4 linked regions of the Struthio camelus genome follow. The protein of the gene in region 2 interacts with the protein of the main gene of each other region in a pairwise test. Links are inferred from orthologs where the notes say so. Each region holds a gene or a part of one and is shown on either strand. Other genes may lie near its edges.

Region 1 (7,228 bases), on a different chromosome or scaffold from region 2:
GCTCTCAATCGTGTTACCCCATTCAAAGTTTTCACTGTAGGAGCGCAGAGGAGTAATTTGTCCCCAATCAGTGAATTTAAAGCAGAAGCACTGGGGGCAAATAGCACAGCGGGTCCCTCCTGGCTGACCGCTGCATCGCACACTGGCGCGTAGGCACGAGGCAACGCCACAGCTCTCCGAGGTAGCCGGCGCAGCGAAACCCAGCCGCTCTGCAGAAGGTGCTGACCTCGGCGGGGCGCGGGGAGCGCGCGGTGGGATCAGCAGCCGAGGTATTGGCTCTACCTGCCCTTCGGTACCCGTGCGCAACGTCCCTCCTATAGGAAACTTCTTGTGGGGCCAGTTCCCAGAAGGAGCAACTCTTCGTGCAGGTAATTCAATCGTTACTCCCCAGGAAACGTCTTCATCGGTGTAGGACCTACTCAAATGAGCGACAAGGGGGAAATTAGGCTCTCCAAGGAAAACAGGTACGGGGTTATTTGTTTGGGTTTTTTATTTCAACATAGTAATCTCCCTACAGAACATCTAAGAAAGCACACAAGAAGTAGGTTTCTTCTGTGAAATGTAATTACCATAGTTTTCTTCCTGTTACGAAGCGTAATTGCAAATGTAGACTGGAGCGCAGGAACGGGGTTATTTTCAGTTACGGTTTGTGCATTTCAAAATACTGTGACGAGTTTGGTTTGTCAAGCTGAAGACAGGGCAGACGTCTCTCTCGCTTCCTGTTTGAGCCAGTGGTCTGGGAAGGGCTGCCATAACCTATAATGACAGCTGGCTCGCTAAAAGCGACTTGTTCCCCCCCCCCCAAGTCTATAAATGCCATTTTCAGAAGATTAAACATCTGCCACGACGTGCATGTGCTTTGTGATCGTCAGTGCGACATGAACACTCTGTTCTGATCGAGTAATAGCAAAACTTGCACAAAACCGTTCAGCTCCGCGTACACGGACGCACAACCCTTACGCAGGCACGGTGCCGCATGCAGCTCGCGCAGCCCTGCGGAGCGCTCCTTCCAAGCCGAAGGAACGAGTCCAGCCTTTCCCTGCAGAAAACATTTCCCAGCTCCGAAGAACTAGACCCGGACGAAACGTTCACGACTTCGCTGCATCAAATGGGAGCGTTTTCGCGTCTCGCTGCTTATTTGCAATGTCTCCTGGAGCGGTAAAGCATTTTAAACACATGTAAAACGGAGCCACGGGAACTGCCGGTAGAGGCGACGCTCAGGCGAGCGCGGAGCAGCTGCCCGGCTGCAGGCGAGGCAGGCAGCGGGGAGGCACCTCCTGGCCAGGGGTGATTTTGCCCAGACGGGTAATTCCCTGCAACGTGTCCCTGCATGCAAAACACAGGGGACTGCCGTAGCAAGCGGGTTCCTTTCCCCTGCTCTTGAAGCAAGCTCAGTAATTAAACAAAAACGGAAATTTACTTTCCGCGAGCCTAGGCAGCGCAAGTAAAAAGTTGCTAGGAGCTGGGCTGAATACTCTTTCCTATACCTCTTTCTAGGCCAACTTAGCTTAAAAAAAAAAAAAAAAAATATATATATATATATATATATATATATATATATATATATATATATCTCCAGCTTCCTCCCGCGGTCCCTTAAATCACCGTAGGAGTTTAAGAGTAAACATGCGGGCTTCCGTGCATAGGGACAGACGCTGCGTTGCTGCCGCTCCCGCGGCACGGCGGACCGCGCCGCTGCAGGAGAGCGGGACACGAGGGCAGCGCCAGCCAGCGCCTCTCGTCGCCCCCCCAGCAGGTCGCGGGGAGCACGCGCGACAGGGGCCCCCTGCGCCGCCCTCGCCTCTCCGCGGAGCCTGCCCAGCTCCTATAGGCGCCCGTAGCGCCCGGGAGGAAAACGCGTATCCTGCTGCTACGCCACTTCTGCCAAAAAGTCATTCTCTAAATATCAATTAAAAAAAAAAAACCACACACCCAACCTGCCCCCTCCTATTAAGGCCTAAACTGGACTTTACAAAACAGGAGCAGCCAGACGGGAGGAAGAAGGGAAGGGGGAACTAAGAATAAAAGCACTTCGATCTCCAAGAAACCTGCCCGAGAAAACCGACAGGGCTTCTAGAAACCCACAGCGCCGCTCGAGCTTAGTTAGCAAGAGCGCCCGCGGTGTCGGGCGGCGCGCTCGCCCGCAGAAACCGCCGAGGAAAACCCAAATCGCACGCGCATCGGTCGCTTCCTTCCCCCGTGGCCGGGCGCTCCCAGCCCCGCTGCCGGGCAAGGCTTCAGGGCCGCGGCGTCGCCTTGCGGCCAACGAGAAAAGTCAGAGGTTTCTTACGGGGAGGGAAGGAGGGAGGGGGAAAAAAAAACAAGGAAAAAAAAATACACACACACGTACACACACGAGGGCAAGATGCCAAGCAGGTTTGGCAGGCAAAGCCCAGGACCAGCCAATCTGGGATGGGGGGGGAAATCCTCCCTCCTCCGGGAGGAGCCCACAGGCTCTCTCTCTCTCCGCTACAGGAAGAAGAGGAAGGGAAGGGGGGTGTGGGGGGGGGAAAGGTGCTCCGTGCCACATACCTCGAGCAAAAGCTTTGCCGCGCAGCTGGCGCCCTGGACGGGCCACCGGTCCTTCCTGATGGCCGGTGCCGGATCCACCCCTACCCCGTCCGCAGGGCGAGCTTAGGAAACAGGTCTCGCGTGCAGCAAGGATGCGGGGGGACCCCCAATAAACCACACAACAAAACCATTCCCCTGCCGACGCGGGCCGGCACCAGGGAGCGGTCGCAAACAGAGGCGGCTGGAGGAGGGAAGCAAAGCAAACGAAGGCCCCTTGGTGCAGGTGTTTCCGCAGCTGCCCCGCGCCGGCCGCTTACGGCCCCGGGGAGCCCGCAGCCGAAACGGCCCTGCCCTTAGAAAGAGGGGGAAGCTCCTCAGCCAGGACGCGGGAATTATTTCCCTTCCGGGAAATTATGGCTTGCTTTTGTCCCCCGGGTGAGTCTGCAGCCCCGGGGCAGGGACTTGAAACCTGCCACCCGCTCTGCCGCTCCTACCTCAATCTGCCCCTTCCCGAAGACCCCCGGGGGCGTACCTCCCGAAAAGGGGGAGCTACCACACATGTCCCCTCCGCCCCGGGCTGTTTTAACCCCTTCCCTCCAGTTTGGTGCCCCCCGGCGCGTGCCCCGAGCGGAGCGGAAATCGGCCAGAAAAAACCCCACGGCGAGGGTAGGAAGAAGGCCGGACGACTCAAGTGCAGCCCAAACTTTAATAGGTCTGGCTGGAGGGACGGCTGGGGCCGCAGAGGACGGACCGCGGTGGGGGGGCGACCTGCCCCTGGGGGGGGGCGGCGTTGGGGGGGGGCGCCCGAGGCCTCGCGCCGCCACAGGCCTTTCCCCCCCCCGCCCCCCCCTCGCCTTTCGTTTCCTGGCTCCCCAGGGAGGCGTCGAAGCGGGGAGAGCCGGCGGGCGCCGCCGCCGGCCCTAGGGGCCGTCGCCTTCCTGGCGGCTGTCGCTGCGGCTGCCCCACGCCACCTCCGACGACTGGCTGCTGTCGTCCAGGCTGCCGCCCGCCCCCCAGGACCAGCCGCCCCAAGGGCCCCGCGGCCCCTGGGGACGGTGGCGGCGGCGGTAAGCGGCCGGGCCGGCCTGGCCGAAGGCGTAGAGGGAGCGCTCCTGCAGGCGGACCTTGTCCGCCCACCGGCTGCGGCCGTAGGCCTTGTACGCCTGGGCCAGGCCGGCGCCGGCTACCAGCCTCCTCTGGCCGCCCCGCCGCCCCGCCGCCCCGCCGCCGAGCACGGCGGGACGGGACGGCTCGGCGCCGGCCTCCCTCAGCCGGGCTGGGCCGGCCGCCGGCGTCTCGCCGCCGTCGCCGCCCTCATCCTTCCCCCCGGCGGCGTCGGGGAGCTCGGCGCCCTCCTCCCGCTGGCCCCCCGCCCCGGCGGCTGGCGGCCCCGCTCGGCGGCTCCCTCCCAGCCCGGCCCGGCCTCCCGCCTGCCCGCCGGCCGTCGCGCAGTCGGCCTCGCCCCGCCGGGCCGCCGGCGTGCTGCCGCCGTCGTCGTCGCCCCTGCGCCGCGCCGCGCCGGCCGCCGGCCCCCCTCGGCCGGCCGCCGCGTCCCCCCTGCTGTCAGCGCGGCCGGCGGTGCCGGGCGCCGCCCAGGCCGCGTCTCGGCCGCTCGCGGGGGCGCCCAGGCCGCCGTCGTCCTGCGCCCTGGTGGCGACCGGCGTGGGCAGGTGGTCGCCGGCCCCCGCCGTGACGGCCACGGCGGTGTCGTTGTCGTGGCCGTCGTCGTCGCCGCCGGGGCGCACCGGGGCCGGCCCTCCCTCCCCGAGGTGGATGTTGGCCTTCCTGATGAAGATGTTGACCTCGTCGTCCGCCGCGGTAGGCAGCCAGGTGAGACCCGTCCTCCCCGCCTGGGTCGCCCCTCGGGTAACGGTGGCGGCGCCGGTGTCCGGGATGTACACGTATTCGTCCACGCTGGGCCCGTCCACTTCCACGTCCTCGGCCCTTTCCGTGACGGACGTGAAAGCGGCGCCTCCCACGCTGCCTCGAGCGGTGCCCGGCCCGCCGGCCTCGCCGCTGCCCTCCGCCTCCAAATCCACGGCCGTGGCGGCGTCCTCCGCCACCCAGTATCCCGTCACCGCCTGCCGGGTCGGCTCGACCTCGCGGTCGCCGCCGGCCGCCTTTCCAGCGCTGGAGCCGTTCTTCTCGCCGGCCGCCCCCGGCTCCCCGAGGTTGTCCGCCTCCACCTTGCTGCCGTCGGCACCCTCCCCGACGCCCACGGGCTCCCACCGCCCCGTGACCGTGCTCCCCAGGTGGGGCGGGACCAAAACGCCGCTTTCCACCCCGTCCAGGATATTGGCGTCGCCGCTGCCCTCGGCGCCCGGAGCCGGGCTAGCGGCGTCGCCGTCCCCGCCAGCCCCCGGGCCGGGCAGGCGGGCCTCCCTGCTGCCGGCATTGCCCGCGGCGCCGGGAAGCCACCCGCCCTCCGCCGCGCTGCCGTTTCGGGGTTGGGGGACGGCTCCGGGGCGCTCCGGCAAGGAGCTGCCGTCGGCCTCCGTCAGCTTCCTCAGGGCGTCCTCCTGGCGCAGCGGGGGGCGGGAGGTGCTGCTGGGAGCCTCGGCCTCTTCCTTCCGCCTGGCGCAGCGGCGAGAGGGCGAATCCGGGGCTGACTGCGCGTTCTCCTGCGACGTCGAAACGCCCCGACTCGTAATCGGGGCGCCCCGGCCCCGGCCCCGAGCTGGCCGGGCGGCGGGGCCGGTCGACGGCCCCCGGCCGGCCCCCCAGCGCCGGCTCGCAGCGCGCCCTCTCACCTTCACCTGCGTCTGATTCCGTTGCGTGGAGAAGGAGTACACGTATTTAAAGATATAAAAGCCATGCTTGACGTTGCAGCCTTTCAGCAGTATCTAGACCGGGGGGGGGGGGGAAAGACGTTGAAATTTTCCTAAAAACAACGGCAGGAGCTTGCGCCGGGGGTCCGGCTCAGCGTCCTCTCCCGGTTCAGCCCGGACACCGGTTAGACCGGGGAGCGCTGGGGCAGGTTTAGCGGTTTTGTGACCGACACGGCCGCCGGGGACCTCAGCAGGACCGCGCTTATCGGGCCTGCCGGCTCCTGGACCTCGGCATCATCTACTGAGTCGTTTTCAGCTTTTGCTTTCTTGCAGGATTTATGGTTTCTTTGTGAGGCAGCTCATGCCTTGGGTAAACGACCTCATAAGCGAGCTCGTTAAACGCGACGGATGGGATCGAAAGCCGCTCAAGCGCCAGAAGGGAAACAGCTGCTTGGCAAGAGAAAAAAAGAGAGCGTTTTCTTCCCTCTTACTAGGAGATACTGCTCTGAATGTCGTTACTGATGCGCTTGAGACTGACACAGCTTTAAAAAGAAGACCACCCAGCAGCTAGGACTCGGACAGCCTCGTCTGTGGGTACAAAGAACGTTTTGGCGCGGCGACCGAGAGCTGGCAGGTGAGACTCGCTGCCCGCGCTTAGGAGCCCGACCACGCCAGCGCCGGCTCCTGCAGGGAGACCTAGAGCCGCCGTTGCGGCACGGCGGAGAGGAAGCCCAGCCCCGCTCGGGAGCAAACCCAGCCTTGAGCGCGGGGAGGCTGTCAAGTTGCCTGTTTGGGTAGGCGCTGGCGCTGCCCACCCTCTGCGGGTCAACGCGCCGCGGGGGTTTCGCCCCCCAGGAGGGCTGCTTTACCCGGTGCTGGCCCACGCAGTTCTCGCCGGCTTTCCCCGACGGTGGCGGCGGCGGCGGCGGCACCTGCGGGGAGACACAAACGCGAGCGAAGGTGTCAAATGCCGTCCAGTGCCGTCTCGGCTGCTGTAAACGCCCCGAACGGGTTCTCTCTTCTTGGGGGGGGGAAAAAAAACCAAAAAAGGCCATTTACTGTTCTTGGGCCCTTGCTCAAGCTGTAAGGCGTCCCGGTCACGCGGCCAGCCGGGGAGGGCGGCCGCCCCGGCACAACCCGCGTTCGCCCGTGAGCGGCTGGGCAGGCGCTTGCCAGCTTGTAAACTGCAAATTATAAATCGTCCAGGGCCGGAGTGCAGCGCCAGGCAGGCGGCAGGGCGTTTAACCAGCTCTCCTCCGGGCCCCGACCCGAAAAAGAAATCCGCAGCCATTTACAGCCTTAGCCCTCGCTGCCCTGCTAGGGGGCGAGCTGGGCCAGCTTTAACGCAGGGACTAAACTCCGCGTTGCCCCCGGCTCACTTCTCATTAAAGACACGGTTTCTGTCCTGCCTGTTCCTTGCGAGAAGAGGAAAGCCTTTCCCTGAGAGTCGGTTTGCACTCTAGGCGCGCATTTAAGGTGCTGGGCAAAAAATCACGCAGGATAAAAACAGCCAGCCTGTTTATCTCGGCTTAGCCTCTGTTTCAGCCACGTCGGCAGGAATTTCGTGCGCAGGCCTACCTAACGGCCGACTTCAAGCGGCACGGCACGCGGCTAACACCTCTTTTTCCGGCTGGCTTCACCTCTGCTCCAGCGCCTCGGTAAATAAGCCGCACTGCAGCGTTAGGTGCGACGATGGTTTTGCGCTCCAGGAAGCGCGCCGGGGCGCACCGGCCCTGCCTCGCTGCACCGCGACCGCCCGGGGCCCCCCGCCGCGCTCCAGGGAGGCCCACGGCCAGCTCCTGCGCGCCAGGGACAGCGCAAGCTGCCGGCGACCCCCGGGGCCTTCTCGCTGGGCTGGCCCCGGGGTGAGACGTACCACGGGCTTCCCGGCGCCGGCAATACTCACGGGCGTCGAGAAGGCTGCGCTTGCCAGGCACACGCTCAAGAGG
Region 2 (7,298 bases):
CAAGGAACCTAAAGGAGTTCTCCTGCCAGATCACCACCACCTCACAAACGCCCCAAAGCCAGCACTCAAGTCTGACACAAGGTGCTCCCCTTCAGCTGCAGATAAAGCAGAACCCTTCCACCATCATTTATTCACATCAGCAGTTTACCCTCAGCCCCCCACCCATGGGATCATTTCTTACTTCTGTGGAGTCTTAATGACCAAATGCACAGTCAGCCCATCTTTGATCCCATGTTGATTCAAAGTGTCTCCATCCTTCAGGATCTTCCCAGCAAAGATCAGAACCAGCTGATCCTGTTTGGCTTTAAATCGTCTGGAAATCTCTTCTTTGAACTGGAAAACAGACAAAGCACTTCTCAGGAAAAGGACTGAAGCCAGAAGCTTAAAGATACTATTTCGGACAGCACATTCCCTATGCGAATGGCACGAAGAACTGACACTCCCTCAGAACTTCACCCAGAAGGATCCCATGCAGATACCAATCCATTCACCAATTGCTGGGCATGTCTGAGGTCTTAAGGAAAAAAGAAAAAAAAAAAAACCAAAAAGCAAAGAAGAGCTCTACACTGCTTAGGAACGTGGAGTAAATTTCAGAAAGTATAGAGCAATTACCTCAAGATGAGCTGAAGGCTTCCAAAGCAAGATCAAGTGTGCCTCTTACGTCTAATCCAAAGACACCATTTATCCTCTGAATGACAATTTTTTTTGTCTCTGCTCATTTGATTTTTTTCCTAAGGAAAGCCCAACTCTCTGTGATTTAATACAGGACAGAGCTCTATGGAAAAGGGAACAATCCTTTATCAGCCAATGGAAATAAACTAGGTCTTTTCTAATTCCTATTTCTGCAACTATATTCCCTATGAGTATGCCATACCAGATAACACTGACATCTCCTCTTTACTATGTAATGAGATACATTGGCGATTTCTGCCAATAAGATTGTCACTGCTGGCTCAGCTAAGGCATTCCCAAGTTGACTTAAGAGGAAAGAGCTTTGTATTTGGAAGCCAGAAACTACAGGAAATTCACACAGAAAAAGCCAGGATGACAAACACCTGTCCTAGATGAGCTTGCAGCCTTCACATTATAACCCTTGAAACCAATGCCTGGGAGAACAGTCCCAAACCTCACGTTAACCTGCTTACAAAGCTCATCAGCGTTTTCTTCTGAACAAAGCAGTCACTTAACATCCTGTTTATACCAACAGGCTTTCAGGAGCTGACTGGGAAGGGGCAGGGGTGTCGCAGAGACCACAGCCTAACCCCATGGCCCTGCTCCCCAGAGATCTCAGCCAGCTCCATCACACTGCAAACTCATGTCCTGAGCCCTAAAGTAAAAGCACACTGCAAGCCATGAGGCCAAGAGCACCGATGATGACACCTCGTCTCAGTGGGAACAGTCACTTCAGCAGGGCTTGAGCCACTCCCTCCCAATCCCACCCCCCTCACTCCAGCCTGGGAATCCCTCTTGGCGGAGCGAACCCTCAAACCCACGCTCGTCCCATGTTCCCTTTCCTCGGCTTCGTTCAACCCGCACCCCAGAGGCGTGCCCAGCCCTCTTCCTCTGCCCAGGGGATCTGCCTCCTACGTGCCCAGATCCGCCCCGCGCGCCCAACCCTCCAACCCTGCCCGGGAGCCAGCCCCGCAGGGACAGAGCCGCCCAGCCACCTCCTCCACAGCCAGCCCCACACACACACACGCCTCCCGCTCTGTCCCCAAAGCTCCTTCTCCCTAGCGCGGCAGCCTTTCTCATACCAACAGGTTAAAGAACAACCCTACCCCTGAGCAGCCTTGCCATCCCTCCCCCGCAGCCTAGCCCACACCCCGAGCATCTCCCCACACCCTTCACACCCCCTTCCCCATCGCCAGCCCCACAGAAGCACCTTCCCCACGGCCACCCCCCACAAAGCCATTCCCCCAACTCCTCACACCACCCTCCCAAGCGCCCAAAATCTCCCTGCCCGCTGTCAGCCCCCACAAACCCTCCCACGGGCCCTCCCCAAAACCAGCCTCTTCACCTCCCTGCTCAGGGCCAGCTCCTCCCTCAAGAGTCACCCCCACCAGCCCCCCTCACAACACCCTCAGCCAGCTTCCTGCAAGACCCCCCCATCCTCTCATATCCCCCAAAAGCCAGGTGTTCCCTACCAAACTCCCTCAACTTCCCCCACCCTAAAGCTACATCCCCCTAGATTCCCCCATACCCCCCACCTCTCACCACAACCCAAGTCCCCTCAGACTCTCCAGCTTTTTCACACCCTCCCCAAGCCCCTCCGCACCCTGCAGCTCCCTCATGCCCCCCCTAAGCCTCTCAGGCCCCCCAGCTCCCCCCTCCCAAGCCCCCAAACCAGGTTCCTCCCCCTCAATAACCCCCCAGCTCCCTCACCCCCACCCCAAAGCTCCTCCCCAACACCTCCCAGCTCCCTCCCATCCTCCCCAAAGCCCCCCAGCTTCCCCACACCCCCCTCCAGGTCCTTCCCCAGAGGCCCCCTAATAACCCCCAGCTCCTCGCACCTGCCCCAAAACCAGGCCCCCTAGGGCCCCCCCAGCTCTCTCAAGCCCCTCAGCTCCCTCACCCCCACCCCAAAACCACCTCGAGGGCCCCCCAGCTCCCTCCCGCCCCTCCCAAGGCCCCTAAACCCCTCACGCCCACACTCCCTCACGCCCCCCACCCCCAAACCAGCCCCCCCACCCCTCACGCCTCCCCCAACACCCCCAGCTCCTCACACCCGCCCCCAAAACCAGCCGGCCCAACGCTTCCCGACCCATTCGCATCCCCTAAAAGCAGCTTCCTTCCCCCCCCCCCCCGCCAACACCACCAAAAAAAAACCCCTTCCCCCCCCCGCCCCCACCTCGCGCACGGAGGCGCCGTCCGCGATGACGATCTCCTCCTTGTCCTTGGGGGTCTTCACCGTGACGCGGATGAGGGCCCCGCCGGGGCCGCCCAGCTCGGCCGCGCCCTCGCCGCCGGGGCCCGGCCCGCTGCCGCCGCCGCTCGGCTCCGCCATCTTCGCCGCCAGCCCGGGCCGCGGCCAGAGAGAGGCGGCGCGCGCCGCCGCCGCCGCGCGAGAGCGGCGCCCCGGCCCCCCCCCAACTTCGCCTCGCCGCGCCGTCGCCCCCTGGCGGGCGGGAGGGGAGCTGCAGCGCTGGAGGACCCCTGCCTTAGAGGGGGTGGTTAAAGGGGTAATTGGGGGGGGGGTAAATTGGGAGAAAATGGGGGCAGCTGCCCCAGGTGTTGCCCCCAGTGCTGGCCACCTCATATGCATCCATGCGTGGCTGGTAGTCCCCCCTCATTAGCAGGGTCCAGGCTACAGCCCCCCCCCCCATTAGCAGGGTCCGGGCTGCAGCCCCCACTTCGTTAGCAGGGTCCGGGCTGCAGCCCCCCCCCCCCATTAGCAGGGTCCGGGCTGCATGCATCCCCCTCATGAGCTGGATCTGGCCTGTATCCCTCTCATTAGCAGGGTGCAGCTTGCAACCCCCTCGTTAGTGGGGTCTGGGCCGCACGCCTTTCGTTAGGGTCCGGCCTGCATCCCCCTCATTAGCAGGGTTCATCCCGCATCCCCTTCATTAGCTAAACCCAGCTAAACCCTCAGGAGGGGGGGGGCAGCTCGCGTGTCCCCCTGCTCGCCAGGTCCGCCTCGCCTTTCCCCTCGTTAGGTGGATCCCACCTGCACCCCTTCGTTAGCTGGCTTGGCCTGGGTACCCCCTCATTAGCAGGGTGCAGCCTAATTACATCCAACCTATAGACCCCCCCCCCACCACCACCACCACTGTGCCACTGCCAGCTCTGCCCTGGCAGACCCGGGCTGGGGCCCAATTAGCCCCCAGGGTCGTTAGGGCACGGCTGAGCCCCTATAAAGCCGGGGTGCCCAGGGTGGGCTGTGGGTGCCTGTAACTGTGTGAGCATTTGGGGGGGGGGGGGGGGAATTTGCCCCTCTGAGCTTAGGGGTGCAGAGCAAAACTGGCTCTCGTTAGGCTTATTTTTAATTATTGCTATTTAATTGCTCGGCCTCTGTGGCTAGTGCCCTTCCCCGGGTGCTGGCTGAGGACGAGCAGCCTGACCCCCTTCCGGGGGGGCTGCTCTCTGCCCCCCCCCACCAGCTCTTGCTGCAAACAAAAATAAATAAATTGCATGCAATTAACGCTGCTCTAACGAGGCTTTTTTTTTTTTTTATCTCTGCCCTCTACCCCGGCGTCTGGCCGGCAGCAGCAGCAGCCCGGGGGACCGGCCAGCACCCCCGGGGCAGGATGCGTGCCCGGTGTGTGTGTCCCCCCCCCTCCCCGGGAGGAAGGGACTACAAATCCCAGCGTGCTCGGAGCAGCGGCACGGCCCCCCCCCCCCCCGGGTGACGGAGGAGCCGAGCTCGGGCGATGCCGCCGCCCCCCCTCGCCGCCGTCCCCATGCTGCGCCCCAAAGCCCTCACCCAGGTGCTGAGCCAGGCCAACACCGGCGGGGTCCAGAGCACCCTGTGAGTGCGCGGCGGCGTGCTCGGGGGGGGGGGGTGGGCGGAGGAGGGGGGGGGGAGTCTTTTTGCACCCGCAAAACGCCCGGCTGCAAACAGCAAAACGCCCGGCCCGGCTTCAAAATGCCGCGGAAAAGAGGAGTTTGCAGCCGGCGGTGGCCGGGGAGGGGGCAGCGGGGTGGGACGCGTGCGCCCCGTCGGGGGGGCCCCGGCTCCGGCTCCGGCTCCGGCTGCGGCTCCCCTGCAGGCTGCTGAACAACGAGGGCTCCTTGCTCGCTTACTCCGGCTACGGGGACACGGACGCCAGGGTCACCGCGGCCATCGCCAGCAACATCTGGGTGGCCTACGACAAGAACGGGCACCAGGCGTTCAACGAGGACAACCTGCGCTTCATCCTCATGGACTGCATGGTGCGCGGGGCCGGCGCGCCCGCCGCCGCCTCCCGCCCGGCCCCGCGCGCCCCTGGGGCTGCCGGGGTCCCCGGGGTCCCTGTCTCGTGCTTTTTTTGTTTTTCTGTGTTGTTTTTTTTTGTTTTTCTGTGTTGTTTTTTTTTGTTTTTCTGTGTTGTTTTTTTTTGTTTTTCTGTGTTGTTTTTTTTGTTTTTCTGTGTTTTTTTTTGTTTTTCTGTGTTTTGGGGGGGGGTTGGATTTTTTGTTTTGGGGAATTTTTTTGGTTTTTTGGGGTTTTGTTTTGGGTTTTGTTTGTTTGTTTGTTTTGGGGGGTTTGGCCTTTTTTGGGTTTTTTTTTTGGTTTTTGGGGGGCTTTGGGGTTTTTTGGGGGGGTTGGCCTTTTTGGGGTTTTTTTTGTTTTTTTGGGGGGGCTTTCGGGTTTTTTGGGGGGGATGGCCTTTTTGGGGTTTTTTTTGGTTTTTGGGGGGGCTTGGGGTTTTTTTTGGGGGGTTGGCCTTTTTGGTTTTTTTTTGTTTTTTTGGGGGGGCTTGGGGGTTTTTGGGGGGGTTGGCCTTTTTGGGTTTTTTTTTGGTTTTTGGGGGGGCTTTGGGGTTTTTTGGGGGGGTTGGCCTTTTTGGGGTTTTTTTTGGTTTTTTGGGGGGCTTTGGGGTTTTTTGGGGGGGTTGGCCTTTTTGGGTTTTTTTGGTTTTTGGGGGGGCTTTGGGGTTTTTTTGGGGGGTTGGCCTTTTTGGGTTTTTTTTTGTTTTTTTGGGGGGGCTTTGGGGTTTTTGGGGGGGGTTGGCCTTTTTGGGTTTTTTTGGTTTTTTGGGGGGGCTTTGGGGTTTTTTTGGGGGGTTGGCCTTTTTGTTTTTTTTTGGGGGGGCTTGGGGTTTTTTTGGGGGGGTTGGCCTTTTTGGGTTTTTTTGTTTTTTTGGGGGGGCTTTGGGGTTTTTGGGGGGGGGTTGGCCTTTTTGGGGGGGTTTTGGCCCTTTCTTTGGTTTTGTGTTATGGGGGGGGGTTGTTTTGGTTTTTGTGTGTGCGGTTTTTTGTTTTTTTTTTTTAATTTTCTGTATTTCTTTCCTCCCTGGCCAGGAGGGTCGGGTCGCCATCACGCGCGTGGCGAACCTTTTGCTGTGCATGTACGCAAAAGAGACCGTCGGGTTTGGGATGCTGAAAGCCAAGGTAACGCTGGGGGCGGCGGGGGGGGGAAACGGGGCTGGCGTTGCTGCCGGGCTGCGTCCCTGCAAGGGGGGGGGGGGCGCAAAAAATAAAGAGCTAGTGAGTAAATCCCCGAGGGCTGAAAATAAAAGGGATGGAGAAGGCGAGGGGAGGCTCTCGCAGCCAGCCGGGGCGCTCGAAACGCTGCCGCTTTGGAGGAGACTGAGACGGGAGCGGGGGACGGGGCGAAAGGGGGCTCACGCCGCTCTCCGCTCGCAGGCGCAGGCTCTCGTCCAGTACCTGGAGGAACCGCTCACGCAAGTGGCCGCGTCCTGAGTGGGGAGCGGAGGGGCGCGGGGGGCCGACGCCGGGCCCTTCGCTTCCGCCGCTCGCCCTGCCTCGTGCGCCGCCCTTTAAAAAACAAAATAAGGGGAGCGGGAGGGAAGTGAGGAAAAGGGGAATAAAAGCGTGGCTGATGCTCGTGTGCTATGGTGTGTATTTTTTTTAAATATATACATAAATAAAGGGAAGAGCGAGGGGCGTCTGTCGGCGGGTGGAGATGTGGGTGGGGGTCCCCCGAGCGCGGGGCGCCGTGCCGTCCCCTTGCAGCGAAAGGGAGGGGGGGGGTGCCGCAGGATGCAGGAGCCCCGCGGTGGGGGGGGGGCACATCGGGGCATCCCCGAAAGCGGGGGGCCGCGGGCTCGGCTTCGCTCCCCCCCCCCCCGTTGGTTTCCCCGGCTCTCGCACGATGGCAGCAGAGACGAGGAAAGGCGGTCGGGGGCCCGGATGGCGCCGGCAGCCCGGCTCGCCGCTCCGGCAGCGCCCGCTTCCTTCTTCCCGAGACAGCGAGCGCCGGGCTCCTCCTCCGCCTGTGCCCGGCCCAAGGGTGACATTACCTGCCCGACCTGCACCGCGTTCCCACCCCTTGAGTCAACCGGCCGCCTTGCACCGCCGACTCGCCCGGCCGGGGTTTCCTCCGCGTCCGGATCCCGGCAGCCGGGCAGGAAACTTTGTGTCCCCCCCCCCCCAACCCCAGCTCCCGTCTTCCCCTCGGCTCGACGCTTCGCAAAGGCAAGGAGGAAACCTCGCGGCGCGGGCTGCTCCGGCCGGGCCGGCGGGGAGATGGGTGCCGCCGCCGCCGCCGAGGATTATAACTTTGTCTTCAAGGGTGAGTCGTGGCCCGGCTGCGCCCACGGCGGGACGTCGGAGCCGGTGCGCCGGCTGGGGAAACTGAGGCACGGCGCCGGGCCCCGTGGGCCCCGTCCTGCACCCTGCAATAAAGGCTGGGGGGT
Region 3 (7,612 bases), on a different chromosome or scaffold from region 2:
GTTTAAAATTAAAACTTCAAATTTGCAAAAGCATGGATATGAGCCTGGCTACTCCTCCTGTCAATTCACTTTCAAATGTGCTCTGAATAGCTAAGTTTGTTTTTCAAACTGTGCATTACACTAGCACCACTAGTATATTATACAGAACTATAAATGCTCCCTAGGATGCAAGAAGCAATTCTGCAAAAATTCAGATCTTGTTTCTTCCCTGCGTCTCCCTACAATTGTCTTCCATGCTTGGATGTAAGAGTTAGCCAAGAACTAAAGAGAGAAAAAGTTCTCTACCATTACCACTTCCGAAAAGAATCGCTACTTTCTGTTTCTAGTACTTTTTAATAGGACAACCTTACTTCTTCAAAACCTATGGGAAACTGTCTAAAAGGTTTATTAAAAATAAACTATGGATTCACATATATGACAATTTAAAATTAAAGTTCCAAAACTAGGAAGCACTTTCATTATCCACTAAAATGAGAAGAGTTTCTGCATGGATAGGCATGGCTGCATAAAACAACCTGAATTGTTCACGTTATCATTTGCAAGCTACTATATGAGACTTACCTACCTCAGGAATTATCTGGCCTCATTACAGGAAGAAAGAAAGAAAGAAAGAAAAAAATCCAGTAAAACTGCCTTACCTGCCCCATTGGTGGTCCTCCCATCGGAGGCATCATCTGAGGCATCATACCATGCGGAACTGGTGGCATATTAGGTGGTCTTTGACCCATGGGGTGCATTCCCATGGGCGGATAATGTGGCATGCCTGGGTGGCCCATCTGAAAGACATCAACAAACAAAAAAATTAGCACAAAGCCAACAACTCCCTGCCCCCCAAAACACAAAACATTAAGAATAAAGACACACTTGACGCGCCACTGGAAATGAGGTAGTCAATTTTAGCTTAACACTGCAAGACAGCGAGCAAGACAATTATATTAAAATGCTTACAAATCAATTCTGATGTTAAGCATACTGTAGAAGAATACTCTTCTGGGATCTGTAGAGCTGGAGATCATCAGAATTAACAAATATATTTAAAAATTCAAAAACAATAGCCAAATAAAAAAAGAAAATATCCATCTTTCATGTTATAATTTGTCATAGAATCACATACTAAATTTGTGTGTGCAACTATTTCTGCATGCTCTTCTATACAACTATGATTAACACAAGTACCCCTGGAGCAGAGAAGTCAATCAGATGACCAGCCTATCTTTTGCTTCTCTCATGTCTAAGGCTGAAGTAGCTTCTACGCTGACTACAAACTCTGTCTCTGTATTTTCCTAAAAATCTGAATCCTGTGGTTGTCCTTATACTTGGTATAGTCACAGTAAGAGGATTAAAAAAGCTAGCATACGTCAAAAGTCTGTTCTGTAAACACACAAAAACATAGAAGACATCTTATTTCATATTCGGAGACTTGTTAGTTACCAGAACGTAGTAAAAGCCTTCTATTCCAGTCAGAAGCATCAGCTTTAAGAGTGCCTTAGGATAAAGGCTCAAAGGCACTTTATTTTGAAAGACAAATAATTCAGCTCTGCATCTTACTTGTGTCTTTCATATCTATTAGCTCAATGTGAAAGTTACTTTTAAACAAAATGTACTTTTTTGAGAAGGATACTGAGCAGGAAAAAAAAGCAAGTAATACCTTTTTTCATGCTTTAAAAACAATCTTCCATTGAAATTTTTGGGGGGTACCCAAAGGCATGCCTATTAATAGCCTGTGAGGTTGGGGCAGACCGCCCAGAGAAGTTATGGACTCTCCTTCCCTGGAAACATTCAGAAACTGTCTGGATGCGATCCTGTGCAACGTGCTCTCAGTGACCGTGCTTGAGCAGGGGGGTTGGACTAGATGATCTGCAGAGGTTCCTGCCAACCTCAACCCTTCTGCGATTACTGAAAAGCCACAAACTGAACAGGTTTGAAACTTAAAGAGTTTACCTATATATACACACGCGTATACACGCCTTGAACGTCATGGGGGACATAATCCTAACTGATTTACTAAGTCTCAGATGCTCTCCAAAGAACCAGAAGTACAACGCTTCCTCAAATCCTTCTCGCGCCCTCTGAAGACCGCTATACATACAGGCGTTTTTAAACCTTCCCGAGGGACCTGCCAACCAAATGCCATTTAACGCGCCCCAGCTCTCCTCTGCTGACCAGCGCAGCACAGGGCTCTCGGGGGGGGGGGGGGGGGCGGCCCCGGCCCACTCCCGCTTCCTTCGCGGTTTCAGGCTGCGTCGCAGGTGCTGTGCCCAGCCCCGGGCGCTGCCAGCGCGCCCCGCTCGCACAACCAAGGGCCCCCGGCCCGGCCCCGGCCGCCCCCCCCCGGAAGCGCCGCCGCCCGCACTCACCATGAGGGAGCCCCGGTCGACGCCGCCGGGCCGCATCGAGGGGCTGAGCAGGCTACCCCCGCTGCACCTGCCAAGAAGCCGCCCTCTGAGTGGCTGCCGCGACGAGGGGCCAAAGGGCATGAGCGGCTCGGGCTCCCCGCGGGGCGGGAGCAGCGGCGCCAGCAGGCTGACTGGCTTCCCCGCTGGCCAATCCGGGCGGCCCGCCAGCCGGGTGCTCTTCGGCGATTGGTCCGCGGTGGCGGCGACGGGGCGGACGGCGTCCCCCGGCGTCAGCTGCATGAGGGGAGGGGGCTTCGGCAAGGAGAACGGGAGCGGCTGAGGGGAGGCCGCCGCCGCCGCCGCCGCCGAGTCCCCACCTGACATCCCGGCCGCGACGAGCCTCTTCTCTGCCTCTCCCGGCGTCGGCGCCCGGAGCCGTTAGCGACCGCCGGCCGCAGGCGGCGAGGACCGAGCGGATGGAGAGAGGCCCCGCGCCGGGGTGGGGGAGGAAGAGCCGAAGAGAGAACGGCGGCGCGGCGAGGCCTCGCCTAGGCGGGCGGGCGGCGGCGAGCAGAAGAGCCTCCGGGCGGGAGCGGGAGCAGGCCGCGGCGGCGGCGGGCCAGGCCGGGCCGGGCGGGGGGGCGCGCGAGCCGCCGAGCCACGGAGCTCGCGCGGGGGGACGGCGGAGGGGACGCTGGGAAAGGGTCACGTGGGCGAGGGGGCGGGGCGGCCGGCGCCACATCCGCCGGAGGAGGGGGAGGAGGAGGAGGAGGGGGGGATGCGCGCTTGCCGCTCTCCTCGCCGCCTGCTTGGAGAAGCCGGAAAGTGTCGGCTGCTCCACCCCGCGCGTTGCGGCGGGTGGTACGTGCCGGCCGGCAGGCCCAACTTCGCTGCGTCCCCCCCTGCGCTGCGGTGGTACGTCCCGCGCGCGCGGTGTGCGCTGTGAGTGCTGCGGGAGGGCGGGGCCGCTTGTCTCCCCCCGCGTCTCGTGCGCGGTGGTAGCCGCCGCCTGAGGGGGATCGGCCCGCGCTTCGCGCCCTCGCCCGCCCGCGGCGCCGACATGGCCGCGGCGCTGCCCGGGGCCGGTGCCACCGCCGCCCCGCGGGCCGAGCCGGGCCCAGCCCGGGAAGCGGCCTCCGCTGCTCTCTGCCGTTCAACTAACGCTGCGTGCTTGCGTTTCCCTCAGGTTTGCGGTCGGGGCAGGCGGAGAGCGGAGCTGGGTGGCAGCTGGGCCCTGCCTGGGTACGGCTGCTGCCGCCTGCGTGCCCCTCCTCCTTGCCCGAAGGGGCCTTCCGCCTCGCCCCGCTGACCTCGGGGTGGCAGCGGGCGGTACCGCTGCCGTCGGAAATAGCGCCCGAGGCGGTGAAAGGGCTGAAAACGCTTCAGGTCTTCCACCTTCCTCCAGAGCTGTGGAGGCTTTGTCCCCCTTCGGAGCCCTGTTCGGCTGCCTCGCGTGCGGCCCGAGAGGCCCCAAAGGCCGAGGTGTAATAACGCCAAATCCTTCCACGTGCTCTGTGCCGCGCTTAATCCACGTTTTAGGAATAGCAACTTTTCAAAAATATCTTCATAAAAAAAGCTTATTTTTTGGTTTAGATACTATAAACGGGGTTTGGTAGGACTTCGTTCCAACCAACAGACTGTGGTAGGCATCGATTTCACTTTTCCCACCCCTTGTCATCCGTCTTGTACCCTTGCTCCTATTTCAGACCGGCTTGTGCTTACTAATTAAGTCCTGCGGCATAAGTTATCCTCTTCTGTCTGCCTCTTCAATAACCTGTGGCCAGATTCAGTGCCAGAAGAGATGAGGAAAAAGAAAGCCAGGGGAGGAGAGCTGGAATTGATTCAGGGTTAAAACTCACTATAAATATAACCGAAGTTAAGTGTAAATTGTAACCATTGGCTTTAATAATATTTTAAATCCATATGAACCTCTGTTTTTTTTGCATGCAATAGTAATAGATTTTTCTAAGAGTATATATTTCTACTGAAGGCTTTTTGATGTGGAGGAAGGAGTTAACTGCATCTAGATAGAAATTGTGGTAGTATGTCTAAACACTGTCTTTTAATCTATTTTATATATTTAAAGGCAGTACCAACTTAATGTTCAGGTTCCCAGTGTCTGTAATGTGTAAATGTGGGTGAACACAACTTTCCTTTGTCTTGCTTTTTTGGAGTTTCTTGAAATAAATCGCAAGTATGGCCCTTGAGGTGTAATACGGTGTTTTGTTTTATTTTTTTGACTCCACAAATGAGTGTGGTAGCTTTTCAGTGGGGGAGCATCTGCCACAGGTGTCCTAATCCTGACGCAGAATAAGTCTGTTTAACAGCAGTCTTAACTTCCGTGTGATGATCAGCAGGATTTGTGGAAGATGTGATCTTACAAAGTTAATATCCACGTGACCTAACAGCAGGATCGTCCTATTATAGTGAGATAACTGTGATGGAACTTGGAATTTGGTGAGAAAAGCCAAGATTTGCTAAGATTGACATTAACTTTTACTATGACCGAGGAGAAATTAAAAAGCAAGAATAATAATGCGGAAAGATTGAGTTTTTCTTTTGTAACATAACACTTTTGCTTTAATACTTTTTTTAATGTGTTGAAGTTTTGTACGGCTGTCACCCTGTGATGAAACAGGGCAGCTTGTGGTCGAGGAGTTAAAATTTGATTTTTAGCATACTGAACAGCCTAGATGTATTTTTAAGATTAGAATCTTTGCCTAATGGCTTGCCATGTCATACTGTTATGATTTAAGACTTGATTCTCTGGCTTGAGTATATAATCAAATATGTAATTCTATGTTTTAGTCAATTCTACTTCAGTTAACTACTTGGTAAATTTGAAGTGATTGTTTTCGAAAACTGCTTATATCTTGCAAATTCTCCAGTTTATACTTTCCTAGCCAGGATTCTGCATAAACAGGGTGCTGGTGAGGTATATGTGAAGCCCTGTGGTGCGTGGCTCATATCCAATTGCAAGCGCACACTGCTCAGCAAAAGACATTATGTGATATTCATCCCATGAAGGAATCATCACTATCTGAAATCCTGGATCTTGGGGATGAAATTACCAATACTGTTCACCTACGTTTTCAGTATAATTCAGTGATGAATAAAAGGCTCCCCCCTTTATCAGGAAAGCATTGAAAATCTGGCTTAATTATTCATAACTAGTATTCTCTTTAAAAATGTAGTCAGAGCATTAAGGTATGCCGGTGGGGACAGCCACACGGGAAGGCACGCTGCTTCTGCTGTGGGGCTGATTGGACTGTTATCCGGCTGAAGCAGCTGTTGCCATTGTTGCTATCAAAAGACAGGAAACCGTCTTGGCTTTTGACAGAGGAAGCTCTGGTATATTAATGTCCTATTGACTTCAATCAAGAAAAGAGAACCAGTAACATCTAGTTTTGTTAATACTTGTGTTTCAAGAATAAGTTCCTGGGTGAATCCTCTGTTATCTAGGGCAGGTTGAACTCATGCTGCACTCTCAGTGAAGGTAGTGAGTGAGGGTTCTGGAGCACTTTCATGAAAATTACAGGAATTCATTATAAAAAGCCACCACTTTATCGTGCTCAAAACTTACGTTGATAAATTTAGATATGCATACAATATGCTAGAGACAATGGAAGTGATTGAGTGTTTTGCTAAAAATGAACCTGTCCATTATCTCTTTGAAAAATCTTGCAACGATTCAACAGTTTGTTTGGACAGAACCAGCTACGATACTGCTGTTTGCAGTGTTCTCGTTATGAAACTCTGAAGTGTATGTGGACAGTTCTCTTTATCTGCTATTGCACTGATGTATTCACCAGACAGCTTGATTAGTAAGCTACTGGTAAGTGTTCTCAGGAGACTCCAGCCCTGTTGATTTGAGTTGTCCATGTAGGCTGCTAGAACAGCTGAAGGCTCTTAAAATGGTATTACCAAGTTTTTTTTTTTGTTGTTGTTTTGTTCAAGTAGTGGAAGGGGCTAATGCTGACCTTTGCTGTTGTGGTAGTAACTGCGTTGTGTAAAAAAAAAAGTAGGTAAGCTGGGGAGGAGAGAAGAAAAAAAGGGAACATATATGTTTATGTCTGATAGTTTTGAATGCTAAAATGAATCTAATCATATTTGTCAATTCACCAGCATGACATTCTGGTGGAGAAAAAATTGTCCTGCTAATAATTAGCTTACTGATATATGAAGTATTATAGTAAGATATTATTTATTTCTGGTTTAAGATGTTCCTGTCCAAAGTTCTCCTGCCATATTCTCTGCTGGAGGTTTCTTCAGTTTTGTTCAGTCCAGGTGGCTGGCTGTGCTGTAACTGGAGGGAAGGATAGAGGGGAATGCTACTGGGTTTTTTTCTGGTAGGTTGTTTCTTGGGCTTACCAGGCAGAGTGAGCAACTAGGATTGCTACTTTGTTCTGGGAAAACGGACCATTTATGTTGCATTGTGGAGCTGTGCTGTATGACGGTGCCTTTGAATTAGTATTAAAATACGTATGTCAAATTCTCTTTGCTTCTTCCAAAAGATTTTGTAGTGTGCTTGTTGTAGCCTCGTTGGCAGAATTCTTGTGCTGTGTTTTTTCTTGGACCAGGATGTATTTTGATTTCTTTGAACCAGGAGTGTTTCTGCCCACTCCGCTGCTACCTGGTTCAAGTAAGTATTTATTCAGAATTCAGCGATTGATTTGGTGCTGTATCTCTTCGGTCCATAAGAGATAACTGTTGCATTATGAAAAGTGCTTTCTGTTGATCTATTTGTGACCTTAAGTGATCTGAAAGAGTAAAAAACTGGTTACAGAACTTGTATATAAATGTAATTAATTAAATAATAAATTAATTTAAAAAGTTTCTGTAACATAAACTCAAGGAGGATAATGAGAATCTAGTTAGAGTTGGAAAAACTCATTCTCTTTTCTTGACACTGTGTATTGTGTTAAGCAAAGAGAGAAGGACTTCTTTTCTCACTGAAATACTTTTCAGTTAGATAATGTACCGTTTAAAGAAAAAGTTAAAATTCACAGTTATAAGTCAAAAGCTTCTAGAAATGCCTTTTGTAGAAACAAAAGAAATAAAAAAACAACCCACACAGTAACTACCCCCTTAGGTAGTTTGTCAGAATGATACCATGTTATGATTCTTTGATTTCCATCTGTAGTATTTAAATATTTTAAATGCGGAGTGTATTTTCTGTAATTCCAAAAATTATAACATATTTTTCCTTCATTTGAATTTCGCTGCATATCATATGTTACAGTTTTTTGCTGCGTGTAGATAATAGATATTCAGAA
Region 4 (6,878 bases), on a different chromosome or scaffold from region 2:
ATGCATATAAATTAGTGAGACAGATCCTAAATAGTTTTGACAGGTTTAGTAAGTATATATAGTGACACAGAATGCTATCCCTGCTGTCAGACATCAATATGTAGACAGAAGATTGGGGGCACCATGGAAACTCAGCAACATAAGAGTGGTATTGATTGGATAGAAAATGAGGCTGCAATTTAAGCTTAAGACTGCCAGAGATGCCAAGAATGGAGAATGACCTCCAGCAGTGAATTTGCAGCATAAGCTCCCTGTGAACAAGCCAGTCCAAGAAGGATAAATCAGGGACAAGCTCACCAGGGATATGGGTCGACCGAATGCAGGCTACCCTAAGCAGATGAGAATCTCTGTGTGTGTGCGTGTTACAGTGACCTAGTTCGTTCAAAGAAAGCATTTTGAATGGTTTATTATAAAGAGGCTTGAAACAAAGAGGTTTCCTCAATTAAAGTCCTGAAATGAATCCTCTAAATGAAAATGCTTTTGATACACTGATCAGCAAGAGGTTGTAAATATTGAAGCAAAGCTTACATTGTTACTCAAAGATAGTTCCCACAGAAAACTCCACTGTTGGGAGCGTACGCAACGAGGGGGCTTGAACAGAGCAACAAGTTTCATCGACAGAACCAATTCCATCCCAAATAACTTAGTGTAAATGCTTTAACAGTTTATAAATCATATCTTCCCTGCTGCAAAAATGCACTGAAATAAAACGAAGCATGCTTTAAATGAGTACATTTTCAGAGCTCCAGTAAAAGACTATTTTTAATTGTTATCCAAGGACTCAGGAAGAATTGTTTCCAGAATGACCAAAAGAAACATAAGACGTGTCTGTGAAGTACCTTGCAAGAGCCGTTGCTGGTAGAATCAGCTAAGTATTAATATTCAGTTTAGCAAGAGAAAGCTGAATCTACACAAAGCCTCCATTAGTAGAGCTGTGACAGGAATAAGATAAGCCTCAAGAGTGTCCTCAGTGTCAACACTGGCATAATGGCATAACTGAACCTTCTCTGGGACAGTTTGTTTCATATTACCAACAGTAGAATACTAGTATATGGTACTGGGCTAGCGCTATGCTTGGTAATGCTGTAGTAAAACCAACTTCCTGCTGGCAAGCATTTATCAGTCACAAATTGCATCTCAAATAACCGGTGATAGACATCTGGATAATGGCAAAAGTCTGTTTTTCTTAGATCGCTTGTTCACTATCAACAAAAACTTACTCATTTGTAAGAGACAGATCTGTTGCTGGCTTCAAATTTCCCTCTCTTTCCATCTAAGAGCTTGCTCTGCAGTCGATAAGCATCCATCCTTCAATTTCACAGAAAGCTCCCTAAGTGGTAAGTCACCAAAGAGTTTAGCTTCGATCAGAGTCAAGAGTACACTTAAACCTCTACTTTCTTGCTCTTTTTAGGAGGAATCAGTAATTTATGCAGTGGTTTTCTTATTTCTTTTTTTTCGGTTGACCACTCTAACAAAATACCTTCTCCATCCAATTCCATCCACTACAAAAACTAAAAACTTCTTTCACCACTAGGCAGGTTCCTTTTTCCCTTCGGACCATTTCTCTTGATGAAAATTTCAGATTGTCTTATATATATATATATATATATATATATATGTGTGTGTGTGTGTGTGTGTGTATAAAATTTTCATGCTCTTTTTGCAGGGAGGGAAGAGAGTCGCACAGAACAAACTAAAGTTTGCTCTGCAGATCAGCTCAAACCACTGTCCAGAAAACGTATGAGAAGCATTTCTTTATAAAAAAAAACTTTCCCATACCCTTCCCTTCTCTTTCTCCTCCTACCCTCCCTCCTCCTCCTCAATACAAGCAGTTATTACTATATATGCAATCCATTCCTTGCTCCGAAAGTTGAACTTTGCAAAAAGCTTGGAACAATCGAGGTCTGAAGGGGAAACAGGAACAGGACAGAAAGTTTGAGGCTTGACAAATTACAGGTAAAAAGTGTTCTTCTACTGTAACATAAGTTATTCAAAGCAAACAGGATCTAGTTAAAACACCGACCGATATGCATAGTTGCAGGGCTACCTCATAGAAGAGGTAATGCACATCGCAAACCAACCTACAATGCTCCTAAGAACCAGCTAACCTCAGAGTTACATCCCCGAATCCAGCTTCTGAGCATACCACTAAACTAAAGCACTGTAGCCATCCACCGCCGCGGCACGCCACTTGCGGGGTTGAAGGGAGAGGTGCACGACATCCAGCTGGAACAAGCAAGAGCAGCAGATGAGGCCCCCAAAGAAACAAGACTACCTTTTTCTTATAAAGAGCTCTGCTTTTCAGAAGAGAGGACAAGGGAGGGTAAGGAGTTAGAGAAATCCGTGCTGGAGACTGTGGCACATTTGCAGAACAATCAGTACTCTTAAGTAGGAGAAAACTGCATTTTCACCAGTGTTAACTCTACTTGCAAGAGAAGACGAGGGAGGGGTAAGGAGGTACGGGAAGCAGCGTGGGAGACCGTGGCTCGTTTGCAGAACAACCTGTACACCCAGCAGGGGAAAGCCGTGTTTCCACCAGCGTTAACTCCGGTTTGCTCCCATCCCATCCCCGCGGAGGGAACGGCAGGCGTAAACTAACGGCAGCAGTTTTAAAAACAGATAAACCGGCATTTGCTGGCTTCGCCCCCCCCCCCCCCAAACCTTCCCTCCCTCGCCGGGCCCCGTCCCCCCACTTCACTTTCTTAAATATCCGCGCGATCGACCGGCGGCGGCAGCGCCCGCTCCGCGGCCCCGCGGCAGGTGCCCGGCCGCCTCCCCCGCCACCGGGGCCGGGGCCGCGCCCGTGACTTACTTGGAGCGGCGGGAGGCTCTCGCCCGTCAGCCGGGAGCGGCGGGCACTTGCCGGCGCTGCGATCCCTCTCCTCTAGCCTGCTGCTGCCGCTCTGCCGGCGCGCCCTCTCGCTCTCCTGCTCGGGATTTGTTTTCCTCGCAGGATTATTATGGTTATTTTATATACATATACATATATATATATATATATATATATATGCCGAGGGAACCTGCTGCCCGCGCTGCCTCCGCAGAGCCCCGGCGCCGAGTGCGGGAGCGGGCGGCCCCGGCCGGGGCGGAGGGAGCGGAGCCGGCGGCGGGCGCGCGCGCGCGCGCGCGCTCCCGCGCGGCCCCTCCCGCGATCTGATTGGGGCGCGCGGCGGGCGCGGGTCACTCGCGGGGCAGCCTCGCCCCCGCCCGCGGTGGGGGGGGGGGAGAGGGAGGGGGCTCCCCCGTGCCTCGGCGGAGCCCGGCATTGGGGGGCTGGGGGGGGGGGGAGGTTAGGTTAGTGGCGCGGCCCCCCCCGCTGCGGCGTCCTAACGGACTTCCCGAACCGGCGTAACGTCCCGAACTCCCGCCCGCGGGGAAGCGGGGGCTGGGCTCGGCCCGCCGCGGGGGCGCCCAACGGCTGCCCGCCGGCCGTTGAGGGGGCTGCGGGGCGGCCGCCGCGGGGCTCGCCGAGGCACCGCTTTCACCCCGTGCGAGTCTTTGGCCCCTTCGGTGACTGTTTAGGGGAAAGGGAGCGTTAACTTTAACCTCGCTGGCTTCCAGCTCGCTGCTGAGACTGTGGCAGTGTTGGACTGGAAACGCTGTTAGGGGCAGGGGAATAAATAAAGCAGCTTTTAATTTCTGTTTGGGCTGCAAGTAGCACGAGAACAAGTTTTGTGGTGGCATTTCGGCACTTCTGGGTGTATTGGCTGCTGGAGTTGTGTCAAGGCTTTCATTTGGGAGCAGGCCTTTCCAGCTTTTAGGTTCATTACATCCACTGAATAAGAGCGTTCCCCAGTCTACAGCTTAATTTGAAACTAAGTGGACTTGTTCCAAAGCCCAGGCAATTTCTGTGCAATTGCCCATTGCCAGAACAAGTCTCTGGTCTCGATCGGAAAGACTCAGCCCATTGACGGTTAGGGTCTTTGCTGAGATCGTTAAGCTAGCAGCTCCTGCTCCAGGTCTGAGAAATCCAGTTCGGATTCTTCTCCTGTTTCCAGAGGAATGAGTTAAAAAAGTAATTTGTCTGGCACTGTTCGCATTGCATCATCTAACACCTACCATCTGTGACAATGGAAAGCTCTGTATGGCTAGGCCCAGCGTAGGCAATTGCACCCACCTGGCCTCCTTCTCCGTAAGCTACTCCCTTCCTTCCATCCACACCTTGGCATCTTCTTTACATCACACAGTTACATGTATAGTCCGGGCACGGCTGTTAAGGATTTACACCACTGGCCGATTTAATGACAGTGATGTAATTTTAAACAACTTTGACCCGACAGGCAAAGCAGTGGCTTCAGGAGGAGAGAACAGTGTTTTTAGCAGCTGGATGCGTGGAAATGAGCACTCAAATAGTACTTTGCAACTGAGCGATGCAAAGCTGATCAGAATAAAAATGGATCCTTGATAACTACTCTGCACCTTCCTTGGGGCTCCTCAGTGAACTCCTGGCATCACTGTGCTAAGCACTGTGAGAGGAAGACTTTCCATCATAAAACAGCTGATAACGGTTGACACAAGAGACAACGGTCTCTGTGCCACTGCAATAGTGCACTTCAGATGGGCAATGATGTCCGAGTAACAAAGTGAAAGTAGGCAAGAGGAGAAAGGCTGAAAGGCTCTTGATTAAGACCAAAACAGATGCCTTGAAGTGGGTCTGGAGATTTCTTCCTTCCCTCACAGAAAATTGAGTCCTACCTAAAACACTTAGCATTTTCAGTTTTTCAACAAACAATGGAAACTTTCTGCAGAAAGCAACCACTTTTCACAATGATGCGTGTGTCAGAAGCCCCATTTTTCCATTAAATGTTGAAAGCAATGTCAATAGACAGTTTTGAACCTAATCCACTCACACCTCTTCTAGATACCTTTCCATAGCTCAGAAATGAATTTCCTGTGACTGAGTTTACATGCACTAAAACTAGTTTTCTGTAATGGGGGCTTAGGTTTTGATTCAAAAAGTCTAAAATGAACTGCACTCGAGGTTAACACAGCTGCTCAGAGGACAAATTATGGTCTGAAGGAACTCTGATGAAAAAATAAAATATCTCAGTCTTGGACTGACAAAAAGTAAAAGTGTGTTTTTATGTTAATATTATTTCCATATTAATGGCACCTTGAACGGTAGCCTCATTTAAGTCTCTTGTGACATACAGAAAATATCCATACTGGAAAATAGCCTTTGACAATTACTTTTCTGGTCTGGACACACAAATATCCAAGAAAAGAAAATTTGCTCTCAGATTGCTGGTGAAACTTATCCTTAAAATCCTTGCTGGTTCCATACTGTTCAATAAAACAAAGATGAAGAATGGACTGCCAGCTGTAGAAGTCAAATTTCTGCTTTCATGTATCATCTTTGCTACCCAGAACAGTATCCCATTGAAAAGGAGATATAGGGCAGAATTTCATTTAAAAGGAAGAGTGAGGGTTAGGCAAATAATAAGTTACAAAACCACTTCTGATTGATGCCACATGCAAAAAAATGGTCTTGTGAACAATCGAAAAGTATTATGTCCCAAATATTTCTATCAGTAAGTATTTGAGGCAATTTTGGGGAAAGAAGCTCCCAGCATTAGATGTATCTTGTACCTAAATCTAGAAACCCTCCCACAACAAAGTTCCTCTCACTGAGTGTTTTCCTGAGTTGAACACCAACAGTTCCCTTTGAACCTGGGGTATTTCAGTACTTTGAGGCAGTTGTTTCATAAGTGCCCTGAAGGAGAGAGTCACTGGGATCTCATCAGCTTCTAACGAGAGTTTAGTACTTCTTTCCTAAGGTGCCCTTGAAAGATTCTGACTATAAAATCTCAGACCACAAAGTCAGAACGCAAGACTTTATATAATTTGCTCCCAGTAAGTGTTTCCCTGTTCTTGGTCCCACAGCTGAGTAGAATGGGGCTATACTTTTCAAGAAGCAAAAACCACTCGCACACCAGTTAAAAGGTCAGCTTGGGTTGAGCTTTCTTTGTTTCGGATACACTGTAAATATCAATTTCTTTCTCTCGCCCTCTCTAGCCCTCAGCAACAGCAGCCTCCAAGAAGATGTAACATGATTCCAGGAAAGCAAAAAAAGAGAACTCGAGAATAGCGTAAAGATTTTTTTCACCTTTTGCTCCACTGTTGTTCCCAGGCTATTGAGCTGCCAAACTCCAGCACTGAGTGCCCCTCATGCCTACTCTACCAAAATCAGATTTCCATTAGTGATACTGAATTATTTAGTGAATGCACTGAACACTGAAATCAGCTACTTCAGAGCTGTGTTCCTTCTCACTCCATCTCTCATTTCAGGCCTGCATAATAGCAGGAATATTGTCACAGAGACAATAGTCAGTCCTATAATTAGAGTGGAAAAATCCATGGAATTCAAAAATAATAATTCATGCCTCACTCTCTAGTATTAAAGTAATCCAGTATGTTAAAAAACAGTTTTTCTAGATGTATGCAAAAGAAGGCAAACACAAATTCTGAACCCAGCAGAGTTATTTTTACATGCACACGTGCTAAAAACTTAAGATATTTTCCAAAAAAGTCAGTATCCCAGAACTTGATCTTATGCTTCAGTGACCAAACCGTGAATACATATTGCAACGTTACACATTTGACTGATTCTATTTTCTACAATGGGATTAATGCTCTTGTGCTTGAAATTATTCATGTGCATATATCTGCATGTTGCAGTTTGAATCCACAAATATAATGCAGCACAGCAGGCCTTTCCAGATCCCCAGCTTTTAAAAGAGTGCCATTCTGAAACTGGCTTCTCTCACCATTTTCTTCTTTTGTGCTGGCAATCCTGAGAATGGAGATCCTACATATCCAGAATTTGAAATCTGTTATAAAAAGAAAAAAAATCCCAGCTATGGATAAAAATTGTGACT

Evidence for each region.
Region 1: the proteins of UBQLN4 (region 2) and SPP1 interact in a two-hybrid assay, tested with the Homo sapiens proteins (2 studies listed by BioGRID and IntAct). The link is inferred for Struthio camelus from reciprocal best matches to the Homo sapiens genes UBQLN4 and SPP1.
Region 3: the proteins of UBQLN4 (region 2) and PRPF40A interact in a two-hybrid assay, tested with the Homo sapiens proteins (2 studies listed by BioGRID and IntAct). The link is inferred for Struthio camelus from reciprocal best matches to the Homo sapiens genes UBQLN4 and PRPF40A.
Region 4: the proteins of UBQLN4 (region 2) and PTN interact in a two-hybrid assay, tested with the Homo sapiens proteins (2 studies listed by BioGRID and IntAct). The link is inferred for Struthio camelus from reciprocal best matches to the Homo sapiens genes UBQLN4 and PTN.

Annotation. Positions count from the first base shown.
Region 1 is NC_090945.1:11,416,312-11,423,539, reverse strand, and holds the start of SPP1 (osteopontin), read right to left. Parts: upstream 3,014-7,228; 5' UTR 2,533-3,013; intron 1-2,532. Other genes in the region: MEPE (matrix extracellular phosphoglycoprotein), read right to left, coding at 3,432-5,132, 5,262-5,354, 6,149-6,211, 7,186-7,228. UniProt on the Homo sapiens protein: Major non-collagenous bone protein that binds tightly to hydroxyapatite. Appears to form an integral part of the mineralized matrix. Probably important to cell-matrix interaction.
Region 2 is NC_090971.1:3,782,600-3,789,897, forward strand, and holds the start of UBQLN4 (ubiquilin-4), read right to left. Parts: upstream 3,021-7,298; 5' UTR 3,005-3,020; coding exon 2,849-3,004; intron 334-2,848; coding exon 182-333; intron 1-181. Other genes in the region: ragulator complex protein LAMTOR2, read left to right, coding at 4,368-4,465, 4,707-4,869, 5,941-6,030, 6,286-6,342; RAB25 (ras-related protein Rab-25), read left to right, coding at 6,793-7,174. UniProt on the Homo sapiens protein: Regulator of protein degradation that mediates the proteasomal targeting of misfolded, mislocalized or accumulated proteins.
Region 3 is NC_090947.1:44,934,479-44,942,090, forward strand, and holds the start of PRPF40A (pre-mRNA-processing factor 40 homolog A), read right to left. Parts: upstream 3,021-7,612; 5' UTR 2,721-3,020; coding exon 2,358-2,720; intron 777-2,357; coding exon 639-776; intron 1-638.
Region 4 is NC_090942.1:66,014,204-66,021,081, reverse strand, and holds the start of PTN (pleiotrophin), read right to left. Parts: upstream 3,018-6,878; 5' UTR 2,813-3,017; intron 1-2,812.